Alligator mississippiensis: one gene and its partners. The protein of the gene in region 2 interacts with the protein of the main gene of each other region in a pairwise test. Links are inferred from orthologs where the notes say so. Each region holds a gene or a part of one and is shown on either strand. Other genes may lie near its edges. The genes, in order: PLLP, membrane-spanning 4-domains subfamily A member 15-like and MALL.

Region 1 (9,804 bases), on a different chromosome or scaffold from region 2:
CGGGCTCAGCGATTGGAGGATGTCACCCACAAGGACACACAGGACCAGTGCAAGGAAGAGAGGGACCAGTGGAGGGATCAGGCAGACCAGGAGTTCGGGGAGAGTCTCCTGGCCCTGGAGGAATGGCATGCTGAGGCCTTAGAACAACAGGCTTCTCCTAGTGGCCAGGCAGTAGAGACCACAGAGGACCACGGAGTACTGGACACCATCCTGGCCCTGGTGGTTGCCTTTGTGCCACCCACTGCTCTGTTCCCAGCTGCAGCCACCTGCCACCCAGCAGCAGACCCCCTGTGGGCCTAGATAGAAGTGCAGTCCTGCCTCCACCAGCCAGGAGCACGTACCCCAGCCCCTGCCACAGATCCCCCACCACCCATCTGGGCTCAGCCCCAATACTCATCCTATCTCCATGCAGTGGTGGAGCAGGAGCTGCCCAGAGCAGGACCAGAACCAAGCACAGGCCCTGCTGGCCCTGGCCAGTGGCTGCAGGAGGAAGAGCCACACATACCAGGTGAGCAGCACCTGCCATCACCCCTGGGTGAGCCCCCTGCCTCTTGGCTTTGCTGCAGCATACACACCCACAGGGGAGCAGCTGGAGACTGGAGTGCTGGGCACCTGTCCCCATGCTCTGCCCCCACCCCACAGCCTCCCCACCCCAGGAGGGCATACACATACCACTTGTAAAATGGGGAAGAGTATGGGGAAGTCTGCTTTATTGGTGGTGGGTAGGATGGGTGGTAGAGGGACTCTGTGGGGGATGGATGGACAGAGTCTGTTGCTGGGGAGGGAGGGAAGAGGGGGGGCCTGTGTTTGTGGAGGGGAATAAACTGCTTTTTGGAGACCTGTCTTCAGTGACTGTGGGGCTGGGAGTAGACGGTGGGTGGGGGTCCGTGGGCAGCCTGGCCAGTGCTGATGGGTGTGGCTCGATCAGGCTGTGGCAGGGACAGCCTGCCACTGTTGCCACCACCGCAGCTGATGCTCCTGGTCCCAGGAGTCCTCTGCCCACTGTGCCTCCTCCACCCAAACCTTGCAAAACAGCTCCCCCCAGGCCTCACAGGTGTTATGCAGCACACAGGCTGCAATGATTTGGGGGGGGGGGGGGGGGGTTGGCCTCAGCAACCTTGAGGCAGGGAAGGAGGGTGCACTAGTGTCCCTTCAGCTGGCCAGAGGTGCACTCCACAAGGGCATGGGTCCGTCCCAGGCACCTGTTGAAGTGTACCTGGCGGGGATCCCACTGGCTGGTGTAGGGCTCCATGAAGCAGGAGAGGAGTCCCTGGTGAGGAGGGGTGGGACCACCACTGCACCCAGCTGGAGGTCTGGCACCCCTGGTGCAAAGCACCCACTCTACACCAGGACTGGCAGGGCGTAGTTGTGGAAGATGCGGGCATCATGGGTACTGCCGGCCCAGCTGGCACTCACATGCATGAAGGCACCATGGTGGTTCACAATGGCTTGGAGCACAACAGAGTAGAAGTCCCGCTGGCTGTAGTAAGGGTGGTTGCCATGGGGCAGGCAGGTGTCAGGGATGTGAGTCCCATCCAGGGCCCGATGCATTGGGGGAAGTCCAGGGCACAGAACCTCACTACCACCACCAGGGGGTTGTGCACCTGGAGCACGGTGTGCCCTAGCATGTCCTGGAGGCCTTGCCCACCCCACAGAGGTGGCCAACTTAGTGGAGGCTGGTGGGCATGGCCAGCTTCAGTAAGTGATGGCCTGCTGTGTGTCTGCAGGGAGGGGCCGCCACATGGCAGTGCCCTGCTGCTCCAGATGCAGGCGGAGCTAGTCCAGGAAGTCTTGGAAGGTGGCCCAGGTCATCCAGAACGCCTCCAGCCACTGCTCATTGTCCCAGGTGGTTTGGACAATGTGCAGCCACCAGTCCTGGCTGGCCGGGCAGGCCCAGAGGTGGTGGGGCTGTAGGCCCAAGAAGGTATGGACAGCCCCAGTGGTGGCATCTAGGAGCACATCATCGGTGTCCCTGCCAGGGACTGGGAAGCAGGATGGGTTCCAGGTGGCAGCTGCGTGGTGGTGGGGGCCTAGAACAGTGGGGTGAGGCTGGCCAGGTGGGTGCTGCACACAGGGAAGCCAGCAGGGCTATAGCAACATGGTGGCGCCATCACAGTTTTTGCCAATGGATGCTATGGTGCTACTGCATTTTGTGTAGACGTGTCCAGTGTTTATTATTACTCACCTTCTGAGATCTCAAGTACAATAGTGACAATAGGGAGCTTTATGAAATGGCCCTTTGTATACAAGTTACAGAATGGCAGCAGGGCAGAGCTTTGTTTGTTCTCAAGGACTTGGTTTTAAAGAGGTGGCTTGACTGGAAGGTTTACATTTTCTAACTCAGAACTGAAGAAGCCTCCAGGTGCAATAGATTGGTTGGGAAGGAGGCTGGTGAGGTAGAGATTGCTGCAGCACTACCACATGGCCCTTTTCTCACTCCCCTTGTGACTCAAAGGTTTCTGCTGAGCAGGTCCTTATCCTAGCGTGTTTGTCATATGGTTACTATTTAAACTTTCATTTCCTCTATGACTCTCCATGGCTGAATTCAGTGAGAGTTTCCCCTGAGTGAGGACTGCAGGATCTATGTCTCCAGGAGTACAGGGACCCTGTCAAAAGTGTGATTTCCTAAACAAGGATCTAGGTACTTTATCTGGGCATCCTGACCCCTTCTCCCCGCTTTTCCCTCACCTTCCCCACTGACAAAAACAATTGAAAAGGGGGAGAAGGGGACTAGTTATACCTTCAACCTACTAACTTTTCTCTGTGAGTCTGCAGGACCTTTACCCCCCTGCACCAGTGACACTGCTATAAGCTGCAAAAAATGACTGCAGAAATGACGAATAATGGTATCTAGCATGCAGATACTTTACTGATGTAGCTAGAGCTAGATAGATGGACAGACAGACAGATGGACTAACAGACACGCAGGGTAAACTGACAGATTAATTTCCCACTCAAAGAGGAATGCAAATAACGGTGAACTAGCCAGTAGTGACCAGTTATCAGGAACTGATCAGCATCACCCAGGAAAGTTAGAAAACTGGCAAGTTAAACCATATTAGCAAATGATTCTATTGTCAGTTTTACTCTATAAGCAATTCAAATGTCTTATGAAAACAACACAAAAAGCTGTAACATCCTTGCCTTACAATTGCTCTTACCCTCCAGCCTTCCATTGGGCCAGCTCTTCAGCTGCTGTAGGCTGGGCTAACTACTAATTTCAACAGAGCTACATTGATTTCCACCAGCTGAGGATCCATTTCAAGCACTTGTGTGGGGGTGAAACAAACAGCATGAGCTGCAACTTTGTCTCAATGCTTTGCAGCACTTTGGGAACACTGCAATGTGGCAAAGGAGCAAGGACCGAAACCTGAACTCTACGCACCAGGTAACTTTGCAGCAGTCAGTTTTTTGCCCAGTGCTTCCACTGCAAGTAACATTAGCAAGATGCTAATTTGGAACAAATATTTCCACATTTTCTGTCCATCCTGACATGAACCGTGTCAAGCCTGATCCTGCTCTGCTTGAAATAAATCTGTGATTTGACATTTACTTGAGTGGTAGTACAAAATCAGCTTTGAAATAATACTAGTACCTCCTCAATATAACCAGAGCTATGGTTTCACATCCCAGTGCTCATGGGAACACCCTTGGAACTGCACATTTTAAAAGTATCTCAGAAACAGAAAGCAACACAATTTCTTTTTCCCAGATCTGCACTTGTGAGTTTCTTTGGCAGTGCTCATCTCCATCACATAGTACTTAGACACTGGTTGTCAACCTTTTTAGAGTCAAGGTACCCCTCAGAAAATGTCAGTTCTTAGTTTTCATTCAGCTTTTGACTACAGAAAAATAATAGAGCAATCCTTCTGTGGCAAAGACCTCAAAAGCACCACAGCAATTCAGAATGGCTGTGAGACTGTAGATTCCTATTTGAAATCTCTGGGATCACCTTGTGTATCATGTTTGCGCACCTAACAGTGCCAACATTGTGTGACGCCCTGTGGCAACCCGGATAAGAAATCTAAACATGCAGGATGTAATAGAGAAGCAGGGCTGGAAGGGACCTACAGAGGTCATCTAGTCCAACCCCCCTGCCTGAGGTAGGATCATCTCTATCCAAACCATCCTATACAAACCCATAATCTAACCTCTTAGTAAAACTATGGTCAGTCCTGACACAATGTAAGGTGTTGTGGCACCCTGGTTGAGAATCATTGGTTTAGGCATTATATCAAACCAGAAAAAGGTCTGACAAACCCTGCCTGGCTTTCCAGCTTTAGGGTGAGAGCCTTCTGACTTACAGGGCTGTGCCTGCGATCAGAAGCAGAGCCAGGACCCCAGAAACCTGGCATTTCCTATGGACCAGAATGGGAAAGTTTCTCAGCAGAAGAGTCTGTAACTATTCTAAGGGGTCAAGTGGCCCTCACTGTGCTGTTCCCACAATATCTGCTCCACCTGTCAATTGCACCAACCACAGGGATGAAGATCTCAGTCCTGCTGGAAGCCAAGGACAGATCTCCCAGGCAGACAGATTGCAGCAAGGGGTCCTGATTCCTCACAGTATCTTGCCCCCTCTCAGGCAAATCGAAGGGATGAACTCGTGCCTTTAAAAATCCCTTCCGAGAGCAGGGATCAGAAGGAAATAGCCTTAATGCTTTGCTGCCTTTGAATGAGGCTTGGACATACAGAGAAACAGCCTGGCCTGGTTGCCAGACAGACCTGAGTTGGATCAGGGTCTGACTAAGGGAAAGATGGACTGGGAGGCAGGGGGAAGCTAGTATCTAGCTACTGGATGCTTAGATGGACACTACTGAGCCTAGGTACCAGAGGCTAGGAAGAGCAATAATTTCAGTGTGGTACTGCTACACAGATGTGGCACAGTGGTTTCCGTGTCAGGCTTAAATGACAGTTAACTTGAATGAGCCACGATGGCTCGAAGACAGCATGTTAACCTGGAGCTGGTCCTTCTGTCGGGCCTGGGCTTTGCAGCAAGCGAGGCTGCTCTCATGCCGATCAAGCTGCCGATCAAGCCGATCTGGTTTGTAGCCAGACAGAGCAAGAGCGGGATCGGGATCGGCATCGGGCCGCTCGGTTGGGATGTGGCTGCTGCCTGGCCGGAAGGACAGAGGAAAAGTGGGAGGTCGGGATCAGACTGACTGGTATCTAGGTACTGGAGGGTTAGATAGATCCCGGCCTGGCTCTGGCTGCTGGAGGGACAGAGCCGGGGAGGCAGGGGCAGACAGACGACACCCTGGGATGTAGCTACGGGAGGGTCAGGCAGACAGACGGACGGAGCCGAGGTAGCCGGAGGGAGGCAGGGCACAGCCGGGGGCCAGAGCCGAGCGGAGCTCAGCCGGAGTCGAGCGGGGCGGGGCGGGGCGGGGCGGGGTCACACGGACCCACAGCGGGCCGCTCCCCGCCGCCCCAGCTCCCGCCCCCGGCGCCGCCCCGAGGCACCACGGAGAGAGCCCCAGCGCAGCGCAGCACAGCCCGGCCGCCGCATGGCCGAGTTCCCCGGCCGCGTGAGCACGCGGACCAGCACACCGGCCAGCGGCGGCGAGGGGCTACCCGGCCTCCGCCTCGCCGCCGACGGCGCCTTCCTGCGCTCCGCGCCCGGGCTCCTCATGCTGCTGCAAACGGTGAGTGCGGCGCCGGCACCTGCCCGGCGGGACCCGCGCCCCGAGCTCCCCCGCCGGCCGCGCCCGGGGCTGGGAGCGGGGCCGGGGCAAGGCGCGCCCCCCCGCCCAGCGCCCGCCCGGGCTCCCACGGGGCAGCTCGCCTCGCCTCGCCTCGCCTCGCCCCGCTCGCACGGGCCGGAGGGGCAGATGGGCAGAGCCCAGCCTGGGCATCAGATACAGCGAGAGCTAGACACGGAACTGGATGGATGGACAGACAAGGGGGCTGATAGACTGGCATCTTCCCCCCCCCCGACAAGCTGATATCTGTCCCTCCCCAGACTGGCATCTGCCCCCATCCCCCCCCCCAATTGACAGCTGTCCCTCCCCAGACAGACTGGCATCTGATGCCCCTCCCCCCTACTGACATCTGCCCCTCTGACAGACGGGCATCTGCCCCCTGCCCCAGACCAGTTGCATGAAAAGAGGTATTTGATTTAGGGTGAGCAAGGACAAACTGCCATGTCTCAGTCATGGTAACTTCAGAGTCGAGTCCTTGAGCCACAGATCCACCCACAGACATCACAGGTCTGTCCGCATTCCTCTCTTTTTCCTTCCTCTGCTTTCTTTTCTCTACTTTGGAGGCAGGGCACTTTACCTCAAAACAGGCTGCGACTTGGGTGAGGTCACAGCACCATTGGGGTCAGTCAGCAGCCAGCTCCTCCCAGCTCTTGATGTTGGTTTTCCTGAGGTCTGGCTGCCTTCAGTGTGTCCTTCTAGTTTTTCCTCTGCCCCCTGTAAGATCTCAGGCCATGACTTAGCTGGGAGTAGAGCACTTGTTTCAGGAGTCCAGTGTCAGGCAGCTGCACACAATGTCCCATCCACTGATGTTGCTTGAGGATCACCAACTCCATGCTGGTAATGTTGGCTTCAGTGAGAAGGCTGGCATCTGTGCCCTGATATTTCCATTTGACGTGGAGGATTTTCCAGAGGCATCATTGGTGATTGGGGGTTGGTTGGTAATGGGGTGGTAATGTAGTGGGCATTTTTGCAAAGGTTGAATAAATGGGATGTGTTGCCTGTTGTGTAATTGATGGAAGAAACACTCTATAAAAGTAAGAGTGGCCTGGTTCTGGTGCTACATCAGCATGATTCAGGAATAACTCCTTTGAAACCAGTGGAGTTTCACTGTTGTGAAACTGTTAGTGAGCATCTACCTACACCGGCATACTCAGGGAAATTAATTTAGGTTAACTAAAGGTGTGAATTTAAAGTGCCAAAATTAAACTGCCTTACAACACTTGGAATTGAAAAGGAGTCAAATTAAGGCCTCTTAATTCTGAATAAAAAGTGTCCACACAAGGGATTGCATGTGATTTAACTAAGTTACTTTACAAGTTAATTCAGATAAACTTTTCTGAGCTTTCCCTGCAGACAATTCCAGGTATAAAAGAATGTAAGACCATGGACTCACAAATGGCAAAGCTCAAGGCATAAACCAAGAGCAAATCACATTGTAACAGTTGCAGGTCTCATCCTGAGTTGTGCCAACAGCAGGAGAGTGGTACCCTGGCTGCCGCCTTCCAGTGCGAAGTGGCTTGAAACTACAGTAAAGTAGGTTTAGGTGGATATCAGAAAAGGCTTCACTGTTGAGGCAGTGGAACAGGCTGCCTGGGGAAGTGGTGGGATCTCTTTCTCTGGAGGCTTTTAAAGAAGAGGCTAGGTAAATATTGGCCAGAGATGATCTAGGACAGTAGTTTTCAACCTGTGGTCCATAGACCCCTGGGGGTCCACAGACTATGTCTAAGGGGTCTGTGAAAGATAACTATGATCAATCAAATACTTGTTTTAGGGCTCTGCAAATGAAAAAAGGTTGAAAACCTACCTAGAGCTAGCTGTGAAGAGCAACAACTGGAAGCCCTGGAGACAGCACATGTATTGGAGGACCATGCTTAGCAGGTGAATGAGGCAGAGCAGCACAATTGGCTTGATTATAAAACAATATTAAAGAGCTGGGACAAGTTTATGTAGGGGATGGGATGACAAAAGGATGAGCTCTGGTTCTACAGTTTGGATGTATGATAGGTGGAGATGTGTTTGTGGTCCCCAGGCTGCAGTGCAGCCTGGAAAGCATTCCATTTTTCCTGTGTCTGGGCTTTGCTGGTTGCCACATGGGGTCAGGAAGGAATGTTTGCCCTTCCTGTTGCTACAGAGGTGAGGGTTTTTTTTTCCCCCTACCTTCCTCAAAAACACCAGGTATTGGCTGTAGCCAAAGCTAGGATTTTGTGTGGGAATGCTCCTGATGGGATTTTAAAAAACCTTGGGCTCCTAGTTAAAGGGTCTTGCTCCTCTGCTGAGCTCTTCTGTTGTGAGGTTCCGATCTAGAAAAACCTTTCCATGTTCTTAGAAATGGCTGCTATCGCATTTCAGTTTTACAGGCTGTTTTATGCTGGTGTGGGCCAACCTTTTTGGCAGGCAAGCCCTGCACCCTTTCCAAGTGCCACTCCAATCCCCTTCCCCTGTGCAGTCTGATGCTCTGCTTTCTGCTCCCTGACCTGTGCTACCTGCCCAATCTCCTGCTCTGCTTTCTTTTCCATGCCCTGTCACTTGGCTGCCTGTCCCACCCCCACATCTGCCACATACCACACACAAAGGCTGCCTGAGCCACTTGTGAAATCCATGCCAAACATTGGCCACCTATTTTACGCTAACACAACAGCATCACTAGCCAGCAACGTATGTAGAAAATTAAATAAAAAAGCTCATTTATGAACTTCTAAACAAGCAAGTACAAACTGACTCAGGCAAGAGGTGCTGCCTGTCATCTGCTGTTGTACATGGGCAAGTCCCACAACATAGTTTGCTGCTGTAAACAGGAAACAATTATTACTGGTAAAGACTGAATGGTTCAGTTTGGCTTTTTTGCCACCCCTTTCTTCTCCCTGAGGCAAGCAGTTATCTACTTTACTTCCCATTAAAGCCATCCCAGCCCAGCCCATGGATTTACTTTGCATGGGGGTGCCTTTATTTTGTTCTACTTCTCTTTATAGAAGTGATGTTTATTATCTTTCTCCATCTCATGAAATCTGGGTCTGCTTTGGACCTTGAAGTTACCAGCACTGCAGAACTATTTGGTTATAATACCTACCATAGCAAGCTGCAGCTACTCCTCAAACTGGGTTTTACCTGTTAAATTCAAGCAGTCCCCAGAGATAGTGTCTTGTTGTTCACAGTAAACTCTGGCATCCAAGCTTATTTGACTGGCTCAGGGTTTTACAAGTCTCCTCACAACTCCATGTAGCAGCCCTAGTGCCAGTCAGTGCATTCCCTCCAGGCATCAGCAGCTGTGGTTCTCTTGGCAGAGCCGACCAGCTGTCCCACCATCTCCTCCTTGCTCATTTGTTCTTGCTCCACTTGTTTTCATGGTTACTGAGATGAAGTCTCAGCTTCCCAACAGTTTCTTGGAGGTCATATCCAGAGCCTTTTTGCAGTCTTGGGAGACCCCAGTAAATCCTATCCTGTTCCTGGTACCCAAGGTAGGTGGCTATAGCAACTAACCCATGCCTGCAAGCCTGGATAACAGCAACTTATGCTTCACAAGGTGACCTCCCAGTACAAGTGCTGTGTTACGTTCTTTGCATTTCCAACATGGTGTGTGTTTTGGTGAGGGCAGAGAAGAGGGGAAAGCTTATCTGAGCCTCCTGTGGGAGCAGGAGTACTGTGTGACCCAGTCCCTGAATGCCTTTTGGTGAATGGCATGAGCACATGGATGAAGAGTGTTGGTGGGTGTTGGTACATATAGGCTGGATCACTTTTCAGGTAGTCCCAACCTTGGAGGACATGTTGCTGCCAAAAGAAGCAAAAGTGCCTTTTCACAAAGGCAAAAGAAAGCCCCGATATATTTTGATGCTGCTTATCAGGGTGATGCCTCTATGTGTCCTGCAGCAGTGGAAGGGAACAGCTGCACATTTGGGAATGGGGGACCAGCCAGTCACTCCTAGCAAAGTTAGAGCTGGACTAGAGCTTTTTCTGCATCTCAAGTTCCAGTTTATCACCAGAGTGGGCACAGATAAGGTCCACCAGGCTACAATGGTTACCTGACTACTACTCATTCTTCTATTGTCTTAAAAAAATGAATGTAAGCTTGTGTTTGGAAAAAAAGATCAGTAGCATATGTGTCAGCATG
Region 2 (10,331 bases):
GATGCCTGCAGCCCTCACCCTGAAGTCGCAAGAGCTGAATAGGATTGGATGTTTATAGGGAAAATAAGAACATCACAATTACATTAGACAAGACTACACATAATTCATGGCATGGACACATGGGACCTTTACACCATTATAATCTGCCTTTACACTGGTGTAAATGTTAAGTGGTTAAATTACATTATTGGTCTACCCCAATGTCACTGCACCTTGGGATGTTAGACTTTCCAAGGATCAACTTCAAAGCTATGCACTGATGTAAGTTATAGCAGCATATGGGCTGTGTGTCCACTGCTCTAGTCAGCTTCATCCCAGGGTAGCAGTGCAAACGGGTTATCAATGGCTCCTTTCCACTTACTGAGAAGGCACTGTAATAGCACCGACTGCAGACAGAAACCCTCAGAGATATGCTAGCTGTCTGCTTCAGATACCCGTGTAACTTAAACCTGTGTTTAAATGGATGTATGTTATACCACTATAAATGTGTTATGTCTCCATACTGTATACTTAGAAGAGTTAAACTGTGCAGGTTCAGAGAGCAAGTCAGTCACCGTTTATTTATGAGCGTCATCATCCTACAGAAGAGCTTCCAGTAGGGGCAGCTTATGCAGCTTCTTACACATTCTGATGCATCTGATACCAGCCTTTGTCAGAGACAGGATACAGGGCTAGAAGGATCTTAAAGATAATCCATTCTGTACATGAATGTCGTTTTTTCTAGTTTGGAGGCCTTTGGGTGCCTGTCACTCTAGACCATATTAGGCTGGTACATGGTTGGTTATTGCGCTTCACATAGCTGAGACTGAGAGATGGGATTAGTGGATGGAGGCTACAAATCCTGTAGTCTGCAGAGAACTCATTGGCACTGGCCATCTCCCAACATTACAATATTACAGGGATAATTTACAGGGATAGCAACATCTCTGTCTTGTCATCCTGCACCTGTAGTGGTGAATAAAATCACTACACTAGATCTGTGCAACTATTGTGGCTCACTGAGAGTTCCAAAAGGTAAAAAAAGAAAGCAAACAAACAAAAAACATTTTGGTGAATTAAAAAGTAGAAAACATTTTGTTCTGGGGGATCAAAACATTTTGTTTAAGCCACAACACTCCAAGTGTTCTCTTTTTTTTATCATTTTAAAAGTAATATTGAAAGAAAATCCAAAATGAAAGTCACTTTGGATTTTAAAAAATAGTTGAAATCCTTCTTTTAGAAAATATTAAAAAGAAACTGTTTGGAATTTTTATTTTGCCCCCAGCTTGAACAATGTGGCAAACAGACACATCTATAAATGCTTCAGTCTCGCTGAGTCCCCATGTTTTCATTGCATAAAATTCTGGCTGAAATTTGGCCAATGCACTGAAGAGGAATTTCCTGTTGCACCAACAGTGGCTTCATGTGAACCCTTGCCCTGCCCTGAAGAGATCCCACCCAGGCATCCCTCAGCTCTGTCCTGGGAACAAGATTGAAATTCAGCCCCCTGTCCCTTTAGTCCTGCATGCACAAGATTTCTGATTTGAGCCTGGTCAGAGGAGAATTAAACTCAGGCCAAAGATCCTTTAGGACTCACCGCACACTCGGTAGGGCTTTTTTCAGCTCCAATTGAGAGGCATCCAGAAATGATGAACTGAGTGGCAAAGAGGAAACAATCAGTGCATTAACTTGTGACTGTCTTTCATTTCATGGATCAGCTCAGTTTCCCTTTTTGAGGACCCATCTCCAGTGTCTGTGATGGAAATCAGGGAGAGGGGGAGACTGGAATCTTCCTCCCTGCTGGTCTGAATCCTTTGGGCAGCGCAGGAGACAGAGATCCCGTCCACCCAAAAGCAGTGACCTCTCTGGATGCCCAAAACCAGGAGCTTCCCTGCCGTGTGGCTGAGGGGTAGGATTAATCTGGATCAGGGCATTAAGCATCCATCACGCAGGGCTTGTCTACACTAGAGGAGCATCTGCTGAGGCTGCCGTGCCCCCTTGTGGAGACACAGAACATGCCAACAGAAGGAACTTTCCTGCCAGTGTACCTCTGTACCACCTCTGCCAATGTAGACTGAGCTGATGGAAATGTTTTTGTCAGTATAGCCACATCTGTACCAGGGATCTTTCTGGCAAACTAAATTGCCTATGGGGTGCTATCTTTTTGATGAGGCAATGCTAGCAAAATGTTACTGTGTACACATGATTAAGTTCTTTAAGGCAGGGCATCTTTTTGTGCTGGGGTGGGACAGTACCAAGGACCAGAGGGACTTGATCTGTGACCTTGGTTCCCATCATACAGCTAATAATCCATGTGCTCCATTAGCATCCCAGTCCTCTGCATATGCATCTAAGAGACAAACCCCAACCAGAGATGGGATGCTGATGGGAAGCTCAGGGGGAGGCAGGTGGAGAGGGCAGGGCACGAGATGGCCAGGGGAAACCAGTCCAACTCAGATTCATTCAGCTCCATTCATGCTACTCACAGACACTCCTCCCAAGAATGGGATCTCGCCAACCACAAAGAGAGAGCTGTAGACGTTTGTGAGGGTTGTCAGGACGATCCCGAAGCCGATGTGCATGAAGCCAGTCATGATCTGGATGGTCTGAGAGAATAATTGCAGCAATAATGTGCATTATATTCACCCCTGGCCACACCTTACTGGCTCTGAAAAGGATGCAAGGGGCATGGGCATGGGCAGACTTTGAAGTCGACCTGCATGGTCAAAGCAATGTCAGTGTAGCGCATGCAAGAGGAGAATAGGTATGTCTATGTTGCATCTCTGGTGCTGTCAGGGGGGGGATGTTCCTAACTCTTCTCCACCCACTTACTGACATTCATGTGCACTAAGCCCAGAAAAAGGGCCATTCTGGGAGCATCACTCTGGCTGGTCTCAAGCCCTCTGTTTCCAGAGTGCTTGGGACACAGTACCAGCATCCGCAAGGAGTCTCTTTATGAAGCTGTTGCAGCTTGCACTGGAGATAGTGCGTCCTTTAGCTCAAGTGGTAGAGGTGCACGTCTAACTCTGAAGATCCAAGGCTCAAGCCTGAACATGTGTTGGTAGCACAAATATTAGCCAAGGAAAGCTGGCTAAGTGACTACCCTGTTTGGTGGGAAGAGGATATTGAGGCAGAGCAGCAAGCTGACTTGCTGCAGCCCTATCACGTGTGAGTTAGAGCTCAGCAGTGTTTGACTCATGGCCCCATCCTTTCCAGGCCTATAGCCAGGGCCCAACAGCAAGGACTGGATGATCACTGTGTAATGAGTTCTGATCTCTTCAGTGGTCTCTGGAAGAGCCTCACCAAAGGCCCCTTGAATGGACTTGTGCAAAGATTTCTCCTTCTGCTGCAGCCTGACCTTGCTTTCCATTTCACGCCCATTTATCCCAGCATTAATCCCTGTGAGCTACACACAGTGTCCTCAACCAGTGAAAATCTCTAAGAAAGGTTTTCCCCTTACATGCTGCACCAGTGCTATAGCTTGGACCAAGGCTATACCTAAATCCCCAACTCCTATCAGCTTAGCAAACCTGCAGGCGCTCAGCATTACCTGGCTGGGTGCAGGCTGCAGACCTCTGGAGCTCCCAGGGAGAAGAGGAAGATTACAACAGGACCAGGGCCTTGGTTGTACACAAGGCTCCCAGCCTCTGCCATCCCCCTCTGAATGTGGGAGCAGGGCAGAAGCTGGAACCCAAAACAGAGCCAAGACACCTGCTGAGGTACAAGGGGACCCTCATCCTGTCTGGCTGGCTAGTTAGATGCCCTATCTCCCTGAGCCCTTCCCCAACCCCATGTTCACTTGGTGGATGGGGTGGGAGAGATGAGAACTAGCTCTTTGGATGTTAACCACACCCCTTAAGTGCACACAGACCCCCATCCCTAATTACTTGTTTTGTCAGTAGTGTGAGAGGCACAGGCTGGAAGAGATGCCAGCACCGGTCTCTGCTACCCAAGCCCTTGCCTCCTCACTTGCTTTGCAAGCCAGAGAATCAGGATGTCAGAGATCCACCTGCACACACACAGGCTGATGGTCACGGGCACTTGAGGGCGAGGAGCTCATGGAGGGTCTCAGCAGAACCCCTGCCACCCAAGGCAATAAGCTTGGTTGGGGGGAGGAGGGCGAGGGGAAGCACAAGGGTAGCCCAGGAGATTTCAGGCTAGAATGGAGCAATATGATCCTCTGATACTGAGGTCCTGCACAGCACAGCACAGCACAGAGGGGAAGATTTGTCCCTTTTCCCTGGCTTTTGGAGGCACCTATAGGAGCCAATTCAGGATGAGTCATTCTCCCTACTCCCCATTCCCTATGTAGCCCCCTCCACACAATGTCCCAGCTCCTGGCTCTGCCGTACTCACCCCCATCACTCTGTTCTTCCCCTTGGGAACCGTCTCCACAGTGTACATTATGGCACGTCTGCCCAGCCGCATCGTCCCCCCTTCTTGCATGGGATCAGCTGGGGTGATGAATTGCCAGCCTGCAGGGTCCTGGGCGGCTGGGCTCTACGCTGCATCAGCCCCCATCCCCTGAGCCTGGACCACAAGACTGACAGGGCTGCTCAGCATCAGAGCAGTGAGAAGGGAAGGAGGCGGGACAATGCCATTGGCTGCTGCAGAGAATGATGTCAGAGTCAGAGATGCTGCAAGACACAGACAGGAGGGAAAGACATGTCTGTGTGTGTGTGTGTGTGTGTGTGTGTGTGTGTGTGGGTGGGTGGGTGGGTGGGTGGTGGGCTGAAGGGGGGCGGTGGGGAATCATTCCTTGGTCCTCACTACAGTCCCTTGATTGCACTTGAGAACTGCTTTCTTAGCAGCTGAGAAGAGGCAGCTCCAGGGGATGGGGGTGGGGGTGAATGAGCTGCACAGAGCCCCTACCCATTTTTTGGCTGCTGCCAGGCAAGCCAATCCAACCCAATTCAGCCCAATTAGATGTAATCATCCTGACAGCTGCACAAGTGCACACACTCCGGGAGCTGTAAGAACACTTTGTGATTGCGGGGAGGAGAAGGAATGCCACCGTCTCCATGATGGGGGGTATGTCACGATTGAAGACTCGTGAGGTTGTAGGAACCAGATTTACTGGGTCAGCTGGATCCCCAGGCTGCAAAAAAAAAGTGAAAACCTCTTTTGGTAGGAGTAGCAGCAAGGGGTTGGGGGAGAGGGGAGCAGGGAATTAATTTCATTTTGATCCCCATGTATGATTTTATTCACAGGGGATAATTACTCTGCAAACCTCCCTGCTATAGAAGGTCTGAGGTCCAGAACTTCACCCCATTTGTAAAAGGACAGAGCAGTTATATGGACAATCAGTATTTTCAGTGTTGCTGTCATTGAGGACAGTACATTCTAGCAGGGATATTCAACTCCTTACTTCCAGGCTGAAGCTGATCTCTTACAACTGGACTCCAAAATGAGACCAACATTAGGAAACAGATTATCCTACAACTGCTACTGTGCGTTTCTTATCCCTTCCTCCAAAGATGACTATTGTGATAAAAAGGATACTGGCCTAGGTGGACCTTAAGAGGTAATCCACCACGGCAATGCTGCCCTTTCTGTGTCTGCACTAGAATTTAAATATGGGCTACCTGGTGCCTATTTAGAAGCACAACTTCCTTCCTACTGAAGCCATAGAGGGTACCTTATCTAGGAGCAACTGAACCTCTACTCCCATTTTATTCCTGTTCCAGATTTAAAATTATAATTAATAAGTGATCTCAGGTTGCCCATATCTGAAAATTTATTTGAGAATTCATCACTGTTCCAGTCAGTTGAAGGCCTAAATCCAGGTGAGATCTCAGGGCAGAGCTGGGGGAAGAGCGTGGGACTGGTAGACCGACAGGATCTTTGGTGAACTAGGTTTTCAGCATCAAATGTTTCCTCTTGGCTCTGTATTTCCAGCTGTTGGCTGGAGAGGGAAGCAGTGAGAGACACAATGGCAGTACCACTTGTTCCTAACCCAGCATTCACCAGGTAATAGCAGTCCCCTTGAGATTTCCTCATAAAAGATACAGTGCTCAGATCTTGAGCCCTTTGTTCTAATTTTAAAACTGGCTATGATCAGAGCAATGTGAAGTCTAATTATTAACAATCTCCTTTCCTAAACCTTCCCCATAGCTTCACCTCTCTGAATTTAGAGCCTATTTTATGGCACTCACTGATGAAAATTCTCCAGCCCTGGAACAGTAGCAGCAATCAATAGAGCTTATGACCCTTGTCATGGACAGACAGCTGGTGTAATACCTCATGATGCATCACCATTCTCGTCCTCAGCATGCTTATCCCAACCAATATTCATCCACAGGGTGCTCTTCGCCTGAAAAGTCATGAGTTATCATAAAGGACATGGGTTATTGTTATATGGTATATCTGAAAAAATGAGACCTACTTAACCATTGCCAGAGATGAGTATTTATGGCCATTGATGGGAAAGGACAATAGACCATGGGGAGTACATGAATTAGCTGTGTGTCACAAAATTGGTACACTGAGAAAAAACACTCTTTTTAAAATGATACTAATTATTATCTGGCCACTGTTCATCTTTTCACTCCCTCCCCAACTATTTCCTATGGTTGCAGCCAAAAACCACAGGTACAGTTAGCACAGTGTGACTGCACATTGTGAAGAGAAGTCAAGCTGCCCTAGAGCCTGGGTGTCTGTTAGATCTGGGTGTCTGGCACTCTGGGGTGAGATCCCTGTGAGCACGTCTACGTGTGCACCAATAAATTCTAAAGCTTATTGCTCAAAGGTTTTTGGCTCCAGAGTACACTGTTTGAATGGGTACCCAGGAGCAAAATCTCCAGAGCAAATTGCTCTGAAATGTATTTGTATGCACCACATGGAGCCCAGTCAGGACAGTCCAGCTGGCAGGGGACTCATGAGGTCAGCCTGCCAGTTCAGGGATGCTCTGACCTGGCTCTATGTGCTGCAGGGGTGGGGGCTGGCATGCAACCCCTGGGCTGAGGCACACTGTGCCCCAGCCAGCCCTAGAGTGGCACATGAAGATGGGGGAGCAGGTGAGCCTGCCATCCCAGGGCTGCTCTGACCCAGCTCTAGGCTACAGAGAGGCTGGCTGAAATGCAGGGTGCCTCAGCGCAGGGCTGCCTGCTGGCTAGCCATTCGTTGAGCCTCTGTTCCTCAGCCAGCTGAGGCAGTGTCTACACGTGTGCTGCTGCACATGAAAAAACTCCACAACAGGGTAGTACTTATTTTACAAAATTACCTTGCTGCACAGCTCATTAGTTTCATGCACTCTAGTAGGGGCACACGTGTAGACGCTGATATGTTTACTGTTCAATTAATTGGTCAACTGCACAGTAAATGTTTCAGGTAGCTGCATCCGTTATGACAGGGGTGAGCAAAATGTGGCCCAGGGGCTGGGTGTGGCCCACCAGGCCATACTATCCAGCCCATGGGGCCCCTAAAAAATTTAGAAAATTAATATTAATCTGTCCTGGGCTGCCTGTTATGAGGCCCTCGATGGCTTGCCAAAACTCAGTAAGCGGCCCTCTGCCCAAAATAATTGCCTGCCCCTGCGTTATGATATTCCAGGGCATGGTTTTCAAGGACCTGGTTACACGGAGACTCCTTTAGCATGAAGTCAGGAAAGAATGTTTCTCTCAGAATCTCCACAGGCCAGGGGGGCATCTTGTTCATAGATTCATAGAGTTATAGATGTAGGGTCAGAAGGGACCTAAGTAGATCATCAAGTCCGACCCCCTGCCCTGGGCAGGAGAGAATACTGGGCTCATATGACCCCAGCGAGGTAACTATCCAGCCTCCTCTTAAAGACCCCCAAGGTAGGAGCTAGCACCATTTCCCTTGGAAGCTGGTTCCAGATCCTAGCTGCCCTGACTGTGAAGTAGTGCCTTCTAATGTCCAGTCTGAATCTACTCTTATGAATCTATGGCTTATGGCCGTTATTCCTTGTTACTCTGGGAGGTGCATGGGTTTCTCCCATTCTCCAGTGGTACCCCTTGGTACGTTTGTAGATGGCCACCAGATCCCCTCTCAGCCTTCTCTTGTAGAGGCTGAACAGGTTCAGGTCCCATAGCCTCTCCTCATAGGGTCTGCCCTGCTGTCCCCGGATCATGAGAGTGGCCCTCCTCTGGACCCTCTTGATGCTGGCCACATCCCTCCTAAAGTGCGTCGCCCAGAACTGGATGCAGTACTCCAACTGTGGCCTGACCAGTGTCGCATAGAGGGAGAGGATCACCTCCTTGGCCCTGCTTGTGATGCATCTGTGGATGCATGACAAGGTGCGGTTGGCCTTACTGACCGCATCCTCACATTGGCGGCCCATGTTCGTTTTGGAATCAATAATGACTCCAAGATCTCTTTCTGCCACTGTGCTTTTGAGAAGGGAGTTCCCCGGCCTATAGGTATACTGCTGGTTCTTACTGCCCAAGTGCAGGACCTTACACTTGTCAGTACTGAATCCCATCCTATTCTCATTCACCCACCCCTGTAACCTGTCCAGGTCCAGCTGCATCCTGTCCCTCCCTTCTAGCGTGCCCACCTAGCCCCAGATCTTGGTGTTGTCAGCGAATTTGAACAGTGTGCTTTTCACCCCCTCATCCAAGTCGCTAATAAAGAGATTAAACAGTGCGGGCCCAAGGACCGAGCCCTGGGGGACCCCACCGCCCACATCCCTCTAGGTTGAATATGACCCATCCACTACTACTCCCTGGGTGCAGTCCCTCAGCCAGTTTGCGACCCATCTGACTGTGTAGACATCAATGCCACAGTCACCTAGCTTTTTAATGAGAATGGGATGGGAGACAATGTCAAAGGCCTTCCTGAAGTCCAGAAAGACTACGTTCACCGCGACACCTGCATCCAATGATTTTGTGACCTGATCATAGAAGGCAATCTGGTTGGTCTGACAGGACCTGCCTCTAATGAACCCATGCTGGTTGCCCCAAGCATAGTCCCTCCAGCCGGTCCTTCCCAGATGTGCTGGATAATATTCTCAAAGAGCTTCCCCAGGACCAAAGTAAGACTAACGGGCCTATAGTTGCCCAGGTCCTCCCTCCTCCCTTTTTTGAAAATGGGGACCACATTGGCCCTCTTCCAGTCATCTGGCATCTGGCCAAAGCACCACGAGTGCTCGTAAAGCCATGTCAGAGGTCCTTCAATAACCCCTGCCAATTCCCTCAACACCCTGGGGTGAAGAGCATCTGGACCTGCTGATTTGAACACATCTAGCCCCTCCAGAAGTTCCCTAACTCGGTCCTCCCCAACCCTAGGCCTGTCAGAGTCATGCCTGAGTCCATCCTGAATCTCAGTGGGGGAGTCCTGGTCCCTGCACAAAAAAATGGAGGCAAAGAAATTGTTTAAAAGGTCTGCCTTTTCCTCTGGTGTAACCACCAGATTGCCTAGCGTATCCTTCAGGGGCCCCACATTACCCGGTGCTTTCTTCATACTCCCTACGTATTTAAAAAAGGACTTTTTGTTGTCCTTGATCCTTGATGCTAGCCCTAGTTCCATATCTGCCTTAGCTTTCCTAACAGCCCCCCTACAAGCCCGAGCGATGGAGGTATTCTCCTCTTTGGTGATAGCCCTTCTCTTCCACTGGGTGTACGCCTCTTTTTTGGCTTTCCTGAATGCCTTTGGTGAGCCAGGGGGCTTTTGAGCACTCTTGCCCACTTTGATTCTCATTGGGACTGTCACCTCTTGGGCACGGAGGATCATCTCCTTAAGGAATGACCACTCATCTCAGACACCCAGTTCCCCAATTCTCCAGGACCCCAGTGCCTCTCCTACCAAACTCCTCAACTCGTTGAAGTTGGCCCTCTTGAAGTCAAGGGCTACTGCCTTATTTCAGGCCCTTGACACCCTGCACTGGATGGTGAATTCCAGTAGGCGGTGATAGCTGTCACCCAGGTGGTCAAGAACCTGGAGTCCCCTCACCAGGTCATTGCCAGTGACCAGGACCAGGTCCAGCAGGGCTTTCCCCCTGGTGGGACTGTGCACCTCCTGGGTTAGGTGGAGGTCCTGTATCTCAGCAAGGACTTTCGTGAGTGGTCCAACGTGGCTGACTGCTCCTCCCAGCAGATGTCCGGGTAGTTTAGATCATCCATGACGACTACATCCTTTGCCTTAAGTGCCTCCGCAAGCTGGCCCGAGAATTCATGGTCCAGCTCTTCCCCTTGGTTGGGTGGTCTATAGTAGACCCCCACTGTTAAGTCCCTTTCCACATGACCCCACTGTATTCTGACCCAGAGCACTTCAGCCTGCCCCTCCTCTGACCCCATTCTGTTAGTTGAGGACATGTATTGCTCTTTGACATAGAGCACCACACCCCCAACTTTCCTCCCTGTTCTAACCCGCCTGTATAGTCTGTAGCCCCT
Region 3 (9,662 bases), on a different chromosome or scaffold from region 2:
GCGGAGGATTCACTGACTGTCAGTATTGTAGACATGTACGTCCCACTATCTGTCATAGAGGATCAGAACTTGGCCCAATTTAGGCAGGTTTTCATGGTAATAGCAATGTTCCTCACAACAGTGGAATCACCAGGCTAAACTTCAAGATGCTGCTTTAAAACAAGCATGCTAGAGATTCTCAACAGAACAGTGGCACCCATTCATAGCACAGACCAAACAAAATATTTTCCCCTAACCCTTTTCTAGAAAAGAGCAGAATTCTTTCAGCTAAAATATTAAAAAATACAGGCTGATGCAAGCAATGGAAATTTCAGCCCAAATGGCTTGACAAAGTTAAGAAACTGAAAATAGGGTCTTACAACAGAGCGCAACAGGCTACTTCAACTCTCAACATTAATATTAGCTTGCCCTGCAATATCATATTTAATATTGAACGCATGTGAAACAGTGGTATTATGAAGTTTTCCTACATTGGAATGGATATACATTGAGAGCCCAAAAGGAAGTACCAGGATGTGCCTGCATGGGCTCCTCTTGTACATAAAGAATAAAAACAATAATAATGTTATGGGGGCTGCTGTTTAAGCTCAAATACATTAGTTCAGTTCCACTGGGTCAATTCAGATCTCACACCTGTTTAAACTGTGAAAACAACACAGAACTACATGGGTGTTATAACAGTTTGAAGCTTTTGCAAGAGAAGAATTCAGCTCACTGACTTCAGCTGAGTGACTGTCACAGCAATGAGAGAGAGAGCAGGCACTCTGCGATTACATAGAAAGAATGCACCATAGAAAGAATGGGTGCTGGAACTCAGGTGTTCTCAAGAGAGCATACATTTCTAAATAAGCATAAAAATATATCATGTGAAGTTCAAAAGCTTCAGAGGCAACACCTTTTTTGTTTGCAAAATAATTGGCAAAACACACTGCTTGTTTACTGATACCTTAAAACACGTCATTGAAAAAGGTGAGGCAATCTAGGGAAAAGTCTTAGAGTTGTTTTGGGCTGTAACCACCTTCATATTTCAGATAAATAGACAGTGGTTTTAAATTCTTATCAACTCAGATCTTATAAAATACTTCTAAAAGTATGGACACAGTCCCTGTTCTATATTGAAGGTCTACAACACAACCTTTCCTGAGAGGAAGCCACAAAAGCCCTGAGCCTTTTCTGGGGAGGGCAGCATATAAATCTAATAAAGAAATAAAATAAAGAAATAAGTATTCAAAAAAAGATTTAACATGATCAAATGAAACGTATTTTGGGATTTACATGCTATTTAATCAGTATCATATTCTTGGCACTATAATTCAGCATGAAACCCATTAAAATGGTGACGTGATAAAGACTAAACAGTAGTTTGTACTGGGGATGGCAGTTTATGCAGAACTGCTGGATTGGTGAATACGATGTTGTAATTATCAAATAAGCCAGATAAATAAATGCATATGTAGGTTTGGATGGGTGGTGCAGATACAGTGTGACAGAGGTAATGACTGTGAACAGACTTTAACTACTGTATTGTATATCAAAGTACAACATCAATTGCCTTAAGCTCAGTAATCACACTGGAATGCATTACAGGACTCTGTACTTAGGAGTATCAAAAAAACTAAGACCTCTGGCATATTACAAAAGCTGACTGTCTGTTTACAATCTTTGATCCTTAAGGAAGTTTTCATACAAAAGAGAGAAAATACAGTTCTTCAGAAGAAAATGGTTAACAAAGCTTAATTTTTTAATAACTGACAATAAATAATTAAAAGAAAGCTTGTGCAGCATAAAAGAACAAAAAGCTTTGTTTTTTAGTGCCTTATAAGGCCTTATATAGGTTTCTGTATCATTCTGTACAATTTTTGACCGAATCAAAATCAAAGAGTGACTTTACAATTTAAATGCAACTTGCAAGAGAAAGTAATTACATCCCAAATCTCTTTATCATGATGTCCTTTTGGGCCAACTCCATCTTTATGAACAATTTGATATAGCCTTTAAAACAAATCAAAACCAAGTTCAGTGTACTTACTAGCTCTGGTAGGATAAAAGCATATGGTATTGTTTTAAACACAGCTGATCCGGAGGGTATGACAGGTTCTGGTTGGGTGGCAGGTGGTGGGAGAGAGCTTTGTGCCATTTCTTCTTCTCTGCGTAAATTGCTACAGTTTCAGCTCCGCTACACTTGGATTTATCTGTGCAATCCCACTGATATGCAAAGCTTAAAAGAGTAACCACTGACACACCCATATGGACGTAATCAGTAAAACCAGTCCCAGCCTGGCAGGTCTCTCCACTCATTACAACTAGAAGAATCATCAGCTACTCCCTGGCTAAATATCATGCCATAAAGGGCTCAAGCAGATCAAGAGCCATTTTTGAAAAATGAATGAAAACTTGGGTGTGTGCACACATATTGCAATATTTTTGTGCCAGAGCCATAGGAGCTCCCTTGCAAACTGGACTTGTCATGGTAGCATTTAACTAATACCCAAAACAAAACAAAACAAAACAAAACAAAACAAAACAAAACAAAACAAGAGATTCAACAGACCCTGATAAAAGAGCAATCAAAATTAGAGAAGAAAAAACCCTATCAGGAAACCCAACCCATCCCTGTGCCAGGGCAGGGACATACCCTACTGTAGTGTATGCTCAGTGACACCAACTCTACTGCGGGCTTTGGGCCTTCCCATTGAGAGAGCTTCACCCTGATCTGCTGCCTTGTGCCATCCTAAATAATTCTGTTCCTTTGGTGTTTACAACCCATATACATGCAGGCTGTTAGCTAACTCCCTATATAACATCCTTACCAAACTCTCCACACCTTAGATATTGCTTAACTCATATATATATATAGAGAGAGAGAGAGAGAGAGATTGTAGAGTCGGAAGGGACCACAATGGATTATCGTGTCTGATTCCCTGTCCCTGGCAGGAAAGAGGACCGAGGTCAGATGACCCCAGCCAGGTGACTATCTAGCCTCCTCTTGAAGTCCTCCAAGCTAGGTGATAGCACCACCTCTCTTGGAAGCCCATTCCAGATCCTGGCCACCCTTACTGTGAAAAGTTTCTTCCTAATATCTAACCTAAATCCACTCTCAACTAGTTTACACCCATTATTCCTAGTCACTCCCTGGGGTGCCTTAGTAAACAGCACATCCCCTATTCCCCGTTGACCCCCCCTAATAAATTTATAGGTGGCCACAAGATCTCCCCTCAGCCGTCTCTTGTGAAGGCTGTAGAGATTCAGCTTTCTCAACCTCCCCCCGTAGGGTCTATCACGAAGGCCACTAATCATGCGAGTGGCCCTCCTCTGGACCCTCTCGAGATTCCCCTCTTGAAGTGTGGCACCCAAAACTGGACACAGTACTCTAACTGCAGCCTGACCAGTGCCGCATAGAGGGGGAGCATCACCTCCTTTGTTCTATTAGTCATGCACCTGCTAATGCACGACAAGGTGCGATTGGCCTTGCTGATGGCCTCGTTACACTGCTGGCTCATGTTCATCTTGGAGTCAATTATGACTTCAAGATCCCTCTCTGCCTCCGAGCTGATGAGAAGGACACCCCCAACCTATAGGTGTGTTGGGGGTTCCTCCTCCCAGTATATTATATTACCAACACAAGAACTATGTTAGGAGAATGTTATTAAGGTTGCAAGATCAGGCAAATGCCAGAACTAAAGCTGCTTGAGCAAAATATTTTTGATCATCTTTTTATTCTATAGGACTCCTGCATCATTCTGCAAACAGAAGGGATGTGCTCTGGGAAACAATCCATGCAGGGCAATAAAGAAGTCTGTTATCTGCAGGACCCCTACTGCATTCATTATAGAAGCTGGGAGGTGTGCAGTGAAAGAGGCAGGGGATGGCAGGAAGAAAGAAGACAGTCTTCCAGCTGATGCAGCTTCATGCTGCCCTGGAGAATGAGTTTCTGTCCCTGTCTCTCTCTGCCAGTGTGAAACTGATAGTTTCTTGATAGTTGCTTAAACTACACTTTTAGAGGTAGCCAATAATTGTGCATTTCTCATTTCCAGATGCAAACGCAAGTGAATGTGTGAAGTGCTGAAGATGATGTGTTGGGGATGATAAAAAGGTGGGCTGCTGAGGGTAACTGAGTGCCAGCAAATGCAGAGGGTATATGAGCATGGGGCTTTCCAGTGAAAGTGGATGATGTGGGGTGCTGGGGCAAATAACAGGAGTTGGTAAAGATGTGGGATGTTGATGCAATGGCATAAGCATATGGAGTTGAGGGAGAAACTTCAGGGTGTCTGAGGCAGTCCCACCATTCTGCCCCATCCCTGTTCAGGCTCTGCCCACACTATCCTGCATTTCCAATCTCCACCATACCCCTTTCTGCCCTCACCCTGCCCCCTTGTCTTCCCCTCTCTACTGCCTTCCCCCCAGTCTGGGGGATGTGTGCTGGCCTGGTGCCAGTCAGGGAGAAGAGGCAGGCAATCTGCCAGTCAGCCTGAAGCCAAGTGCCACCTCAACCCCAGGTTGCCTGGGAAAGAACCACAGGTCCTATCTATGTCGCAGCTGAATGCATGGGAAGCCAGGGATGGACATGGACAGTTCAAGACTGTTCATAACCATCTTTTTGGGGGGAAACAGTCATTTAACACTATCTTTAATAAGGCATTCCCCAAAAGAGACCACACAGTTAAAGGGAAAGAAATACGAAAATATGTGCAAATAAAAGGTTTACTCGGCTTTTGTAACTAGCAGTAGTTTAGCTGTTTCCCTCTGCCCATGTTTGATAATCATCCTTCGTGATGGTTTCCTTTACAATTAAATTAAGTCTACCATAGCTGACCACCAAACCTCCGAAGACAACTAAAGGCTTTTCGCCATGTGTCAATTAAATCTAAGAACAAAACTTCCTACTGTTCTGACAGTACAAACAGTAGAATAAACTGCCCAGGGAAAGTATGAAATTTCCTTCGTTGGAAGGGATTGGACTGGACATCCAGGTACCAAAATAAAACCCGGGCAAAAAAAGTGGGGCAGGGCACAGTCCCGGATCATGCCCTGAGGCAACCGGAGACTTGGGTCCTCCACAGAAATGCTCTGGTAGTCAGCCACAGTGTCTCTATGGCTGGCCCTTGCCCCTGCTCAGGGCAAGCAGCATGCAGGCTGCAGGGACCCAGGCTTCCTTCCAAGTAAGTAGGGGTTGAGTGGGGTGGGGGAGGGAGTGGGGCGGAGGTGACCCTAACCCTAACCCAGTCTCCCCGCTCACCTCATGGCACAGCTGTCCCGCAGGTCAGTGTGGGGCAACAGGGCTCAGTCCCAGCTGCCTGGCACATGTGCTGCCGCTGCTGCATCACACGGATACAACTCGGCTCGGCTCAGCAAAGCGCCATGGCTCAGGCTCTGGGTGACAGCTCCAGCAATCCTGAGCTGTCAGAGAGTGTGCGGCACCGTGCGGTGCCCTACCGAGCCGGGCTGCACTTGTGCAATGTGGCAGTGGCAGTGCGGGTGCCAAGCGACTGGGGCTGAGAACCACTGCCCTCCGCTGCCCCACACTGCGCAGGGGGGCTGTGCCATGAGGCCCTGAGTGGCCCTGACAGCCGCTGCTACTACTGGTGAGTGTGGGGATGCTGGGGCTGGGTGCGGGGGTGAGAGGGGGCTGGGACCAGCCAAGGGAGCGAGCTGGGGGATGGGGGAGTGAGCAGGGGGCCGGAGAAGTAAGCAGGGGGGAAGGAGTGAGCAGGGAGTTGGGGCTGGGTGAGGCAGCAAGTGGGGGTGGGCTGGGGGCACGTGGGCCCTGCAGAGGGGCTGTAGCCCCATGTGAAGGAGCTGTGGCCATGTGGGGGGAACGGGGGGGGGGGGACTGCACCTTGTGGGGGGGGTAGGGGACCCACTCCTTCTGAGCAGCCCTCCTTATACATCTGCCCACACCCACAGCCCCCCCACAATCTACCCCTTAACCCCACACCACCCCCACAAACCCCTCACCCACATACCTGGCCCTGTGGGGCAGGAGTGAGGGGAATGGAGTGGGGGTAGGCTGTAGGTTGAGAGTCAGGGGCAAGGGCAGGGCACTGGCATATCAACACTGTTCAGTGCTGCACATCTTGGTGAGTGAAGGGGGTAGGGGCAGCTCTGATTTGTCTATGACAAAAAAGCCAAAAGTCAATGCAAAACTGTATAGATATTTAGCATTTATTTTATTATGATGATAGAGGCACTGGCAGGCTTCCAAATTGCTTTAAAATTGTAAATATATCAATAAAACATTACCCAACTCATTTGATCTCTCTCTCTCTCTCTGTATATATCTATATATCTATATATATATATACACACACACACACACATATGATATATCTAGTGGTCTTTTGTTTTAATTGTGGGAGAACATGGATTTTGGGATATTTTAGAGTGACTTTGGGATTTTTTTTTATCAGGGATTTTGCAGGATTTAAATAGGGAAGACCAGAATTCTTGCTAGTGAGGCAAGTGGCAGGACTCAGGCAGAGGAGCCTGCTCAGAACTGGCACCTAGGACCCAGCTGGAGGTGGTTGACCTCCTGGCCACTTGGGATCAGGAGGACATGCTTTGACAGTTCAAAGCAGGCCATTACGCTGAGAATATCTTCCAGGAAATAGCTGCCCAGATGACCAGGTGGTGGCACACATGGCAGTAGTGCTGCACAAAGGCCAACTGTGCAACCACAGTCTGCTGGCAGCTGGCCCAGAGGTGCAGATGTCTCTATTGGCCATGCAGTCCTCATCCAGGTCTGGCAGGGCCACAGCCTTGGAGCTACTTGCTGTCAAAGGTGGCAGCAGGTCACAGCCAGGCAGCAGTCCCCACTGCCAGACTGCTGCAGTGGGTAGAGGGTGCAGGGAACTCTCATGGCTGTTTCAGCAGTCCAGCTGGCACAAGGGGTAGTGTCCTCAGGTACCAATTGGCTGGGCCCCAGAAGCTCCTGAGAGCGAGTGGCCCTGAACTGCTCACCAGGGCAGCTTTTTATATTGCTGGGGCCAACACAGGTGCTGGCCCCAGCTTCTAGCTCCTCCTGGATGTAGATCCAGGAGCCAAGCAGGGTTAGTTTGTTCCAAGTGGCACAATTTGCCCCACACCAAAGTGTGTTTCTGGGCACATGTACTGAGGCAAAAAGCCCCAGTTCAAACTTGCGCCACTTCTATTTGAGCTGCTGCAAGTGCATGTGCCTGCATGTGTGGATGCACCCAATGAATCCTAAGTGACTCTATGAGGAAGTTAGTATGCAGTAAGATCAGATGTGAATTTACAGCACGTATGTGGAATAGATGGTGCACTGTAAGTTCACTCTAGCTTATTCTGCTTATTGTAACGATGTTAAGCAGTTAGGGCTTGCGTATAATGAAAACTGAACTTCCTCCTAATCTTTTTAAGCACCTTCTTCTAATGTAACAACCCCACCCTCTCTATACATCCTAAGTAAAAACATTTAAAATTGTCTCAGTACAAGAGTATCCCACTGCTCATTAACTAGGGATGTGCAAATATTTATTTCTATTCATAATATATCTTGCTAAACTAGTTTTCTTACAACTCATTGCTATTTTCTTTGTTTAATAATTACTTATCCACTAGGGTGTTATGACTAAGGCTATGATTTTGGCACAATTCTTTTTAATAAATGTCATAGAAGAGGTGTGGAAAATGCAGTATTCAAGGAAAAGTGCCAAAGCATGCTTGCTACATGTTGACAACAGTGAAACAGTACCTTACCAGAGCTCATTTCTCTATCTGGACCACTGCCTCATAGGAGTTGTAGTTTGGAGGGCTATTGCCCCCATTCTTTCAGCCAACATCTGTGGCTGAATTACACCTTCCATGATCCTGTGTGCTCTTCCCTTCCATAGAATGCCAGGGTCCTCCTGATTCTGAGTTTCTATGTTATGGTTTCCAAACCTCCATGGCTGCTGTGACAAAAATGTAGTCTTAGTTATGACTGGTGGCCTGTGTTAAATAACCATCTAACTAGTATGGACTGGAGAAGTAAATACAGGTACTCCTCACTTAACGTCATCCCAGTTAAGGTTGTTTCGTTATTACATCACTGATATATTAGAGAACATACATGTTTAAAGTCACGTAATGTTTGGTTATGGCTGTTTGGCACCGCCTGCTAGTAGGTAACTCTTGTGACGTAATTGGATTTGCTTAACACCATTTTGCTTAAAGTTGCAATTTTCAAGAACGTAACTATGATGTTAAGTGAGGAATAGTTGTACAGCTCTTCTAAATCAACTAAAGAAGATACTGTTACATCCATTTTAAGAGTTTGCTGAGCTCTATGGTCAGTACAACAAAGTATTCACCTTCATAAGCCAATAAGAGTAGTAGATAGATGTCACTGATAACTGTACCCATGTTTAAAAATACAGATCAGAAGCTTTTTAAAAAACAATCAACCATGTAGTTAAATAGATAAAACACTTTATTCTAATCTATTGGTATATGCTTTGTAAAAAAAGTCATTATATGTCCAGATAATCTAATACAATTTACTTACAAAATATGCTTTGTATAAACTATAAAACCCTTTTATTTTGATTAGATAGGTCATTCCTTTAATATATTTTGCATATGCCACACTCTATTACTGTCTTAATATCCATTCATGCTGATACACTACTTTTCCTTGCCTCTCCTAGAAAATCATATGCTACCTCTGAAATATCAAAAACTTTGTGAACAGTTTCTGAGGACAGCAGAGAGTAGAGCGCACCATCATTTTCGCGGGTCTGCTTCAAAAAGTCAGCAATCACTTTCCAGCGAGAGGCTTCTGACTCTTCATCTGCCCATTTATGTTTTGGGAGGAAAGTAGACTGGAGAAGAGGGAAGACAGAGTCATGGTACACCAGGGTAAATACGGTCTTCAAAAATTCTTGATCTCTCTAGAAATAAGAATATAAAAGCGGTCAGTACTCCATGCTTGAAGGCATTTCTACAGAAGACTGTATATTCCAAGCAAAACAGTAATCCTATGGACTACTATCCCCAGTGTTAAAACAAGAGGCGGGAATATTTGAACGCTCATGGCGCACGGGCCAAGTCTCGGAGGACTGGAAAAGGGCCAATGTGGTCCCCATTTTCAAGAAGGGGAGGAAGGAGGACCCGGGCAACTATAGGCCAGTCAGTCTCACCTCCATCCTTGGCAAAGTCTTTGAAAAAATTATCAAGGTTCACATTTGCGAGAGCCTGGCAGGACAAATTATGCTGAGGGGAAACCAGCACGGGTTCGTAGCAGGCAGATAGTGCCTGACTAATCTAGTCTCTTTTTATGACCAGGTTACGAAATGCCTGGACACAGGAGTAGGGATGGATGTCATGTACTTAGACTTCAGGAAGGCCTTTGATACAGTATCCCACCCCATACTGGTGAACAAGTTAAGAGGCTGTGACTTGGATGACTACACAGTCCGGTGGGTGGCGAACTGGCTAGAGGGTTGTACCCAGAGAGTTGTAGTGGATGGGTCGGTCTTGACCTGGAAGGGTGTGCGCAGTGGGGTCCCGCAGGGCTCGGTCCTTGGACCGATACTCTTTAATGTCTTCATCAGCAACTTGGACGAGGGAATGAAGTGTACTCTGTCCAAGTTTGCGGATGACACAAAACTGTGGGGAGAAGTGGACACGCCAGAGGGCAGGGAACAGCTGCAAGCAGACCTGGA

Evidence for each region.
Region 1: the proteins of membrane-spanning 4-domains subfamily A member 15-like (region 2) and PLLP interact in binary tests that used the Homo sapiens proteins (3 or more experiments, as listed by UniProt). The two-hybrid records come from large-scale screens. The link is inferred for Alligator mississippiensis from reciprocal best matches to the Homo sapiens genes MS4A12 and PLLP.
Region 3: the proteins of membrane-spanning 4-domains subfamily A member 15-like (region 2) and MALL interact in binary tests that used the Homo sapiens proteins (3 or more experiments, as listed by UniProt). The two-hybrid records come from large-scale screens. The link is inferred for Alligator mississippiensis from reciprocal best matches to the Homo sapiens genes MS4A12 and MALL.

The regions. Positions count from the first base shown.
Region 1 is NC_081833.1:37,287,811-37,297,614, reverse strand, and holds the start of PLLP (plasmolipin), read left to right. Parts: upstream 1-5,452; 5' UTR 5,453-5,504; coding exon 5,505-5,642; intron 5,643-9,804. UniProt on the Homo sapiens protein: Main component of the myelin sheath that plays an important role in myelin membrane biogenesis and myelination. Plays an essential function in apical endocytosis. Regulates epithelial development through the regulation of apical endocytosis.
Region 2 is NC_081825.1:176,801,464-176,811,794, reverse strand, and holds the start of membrane-spanning 4-domains subfamily A member 15-like, read right to left. Parts: upstream 4,590-10,331; 5' UTR 4,426-4,589; coding exon 4,336-4,425; intron 2,586-4,335; coding exon 2,466-2,585; intron 1,634-2,465; coding exon 1,577-1,633; intron 1-1,576. UniProt on the Homo sapiens protein: May be involved in signal transduction as a component of a multimeric receptor complex.
Region 3 is NC_081824.1:237,893,745-237,903,406, reverse strand, and holds the start of MALL (MAL-like protein), read right to left. Parts: upstream 4,259-9,662; 5' UTR 2,138-4,258; coding exon 2,030-2,137; intron 1-2,029. Other genes in the region: NPHP1 (nephrocystin-1), read right to left, coding at 8,610-8,888.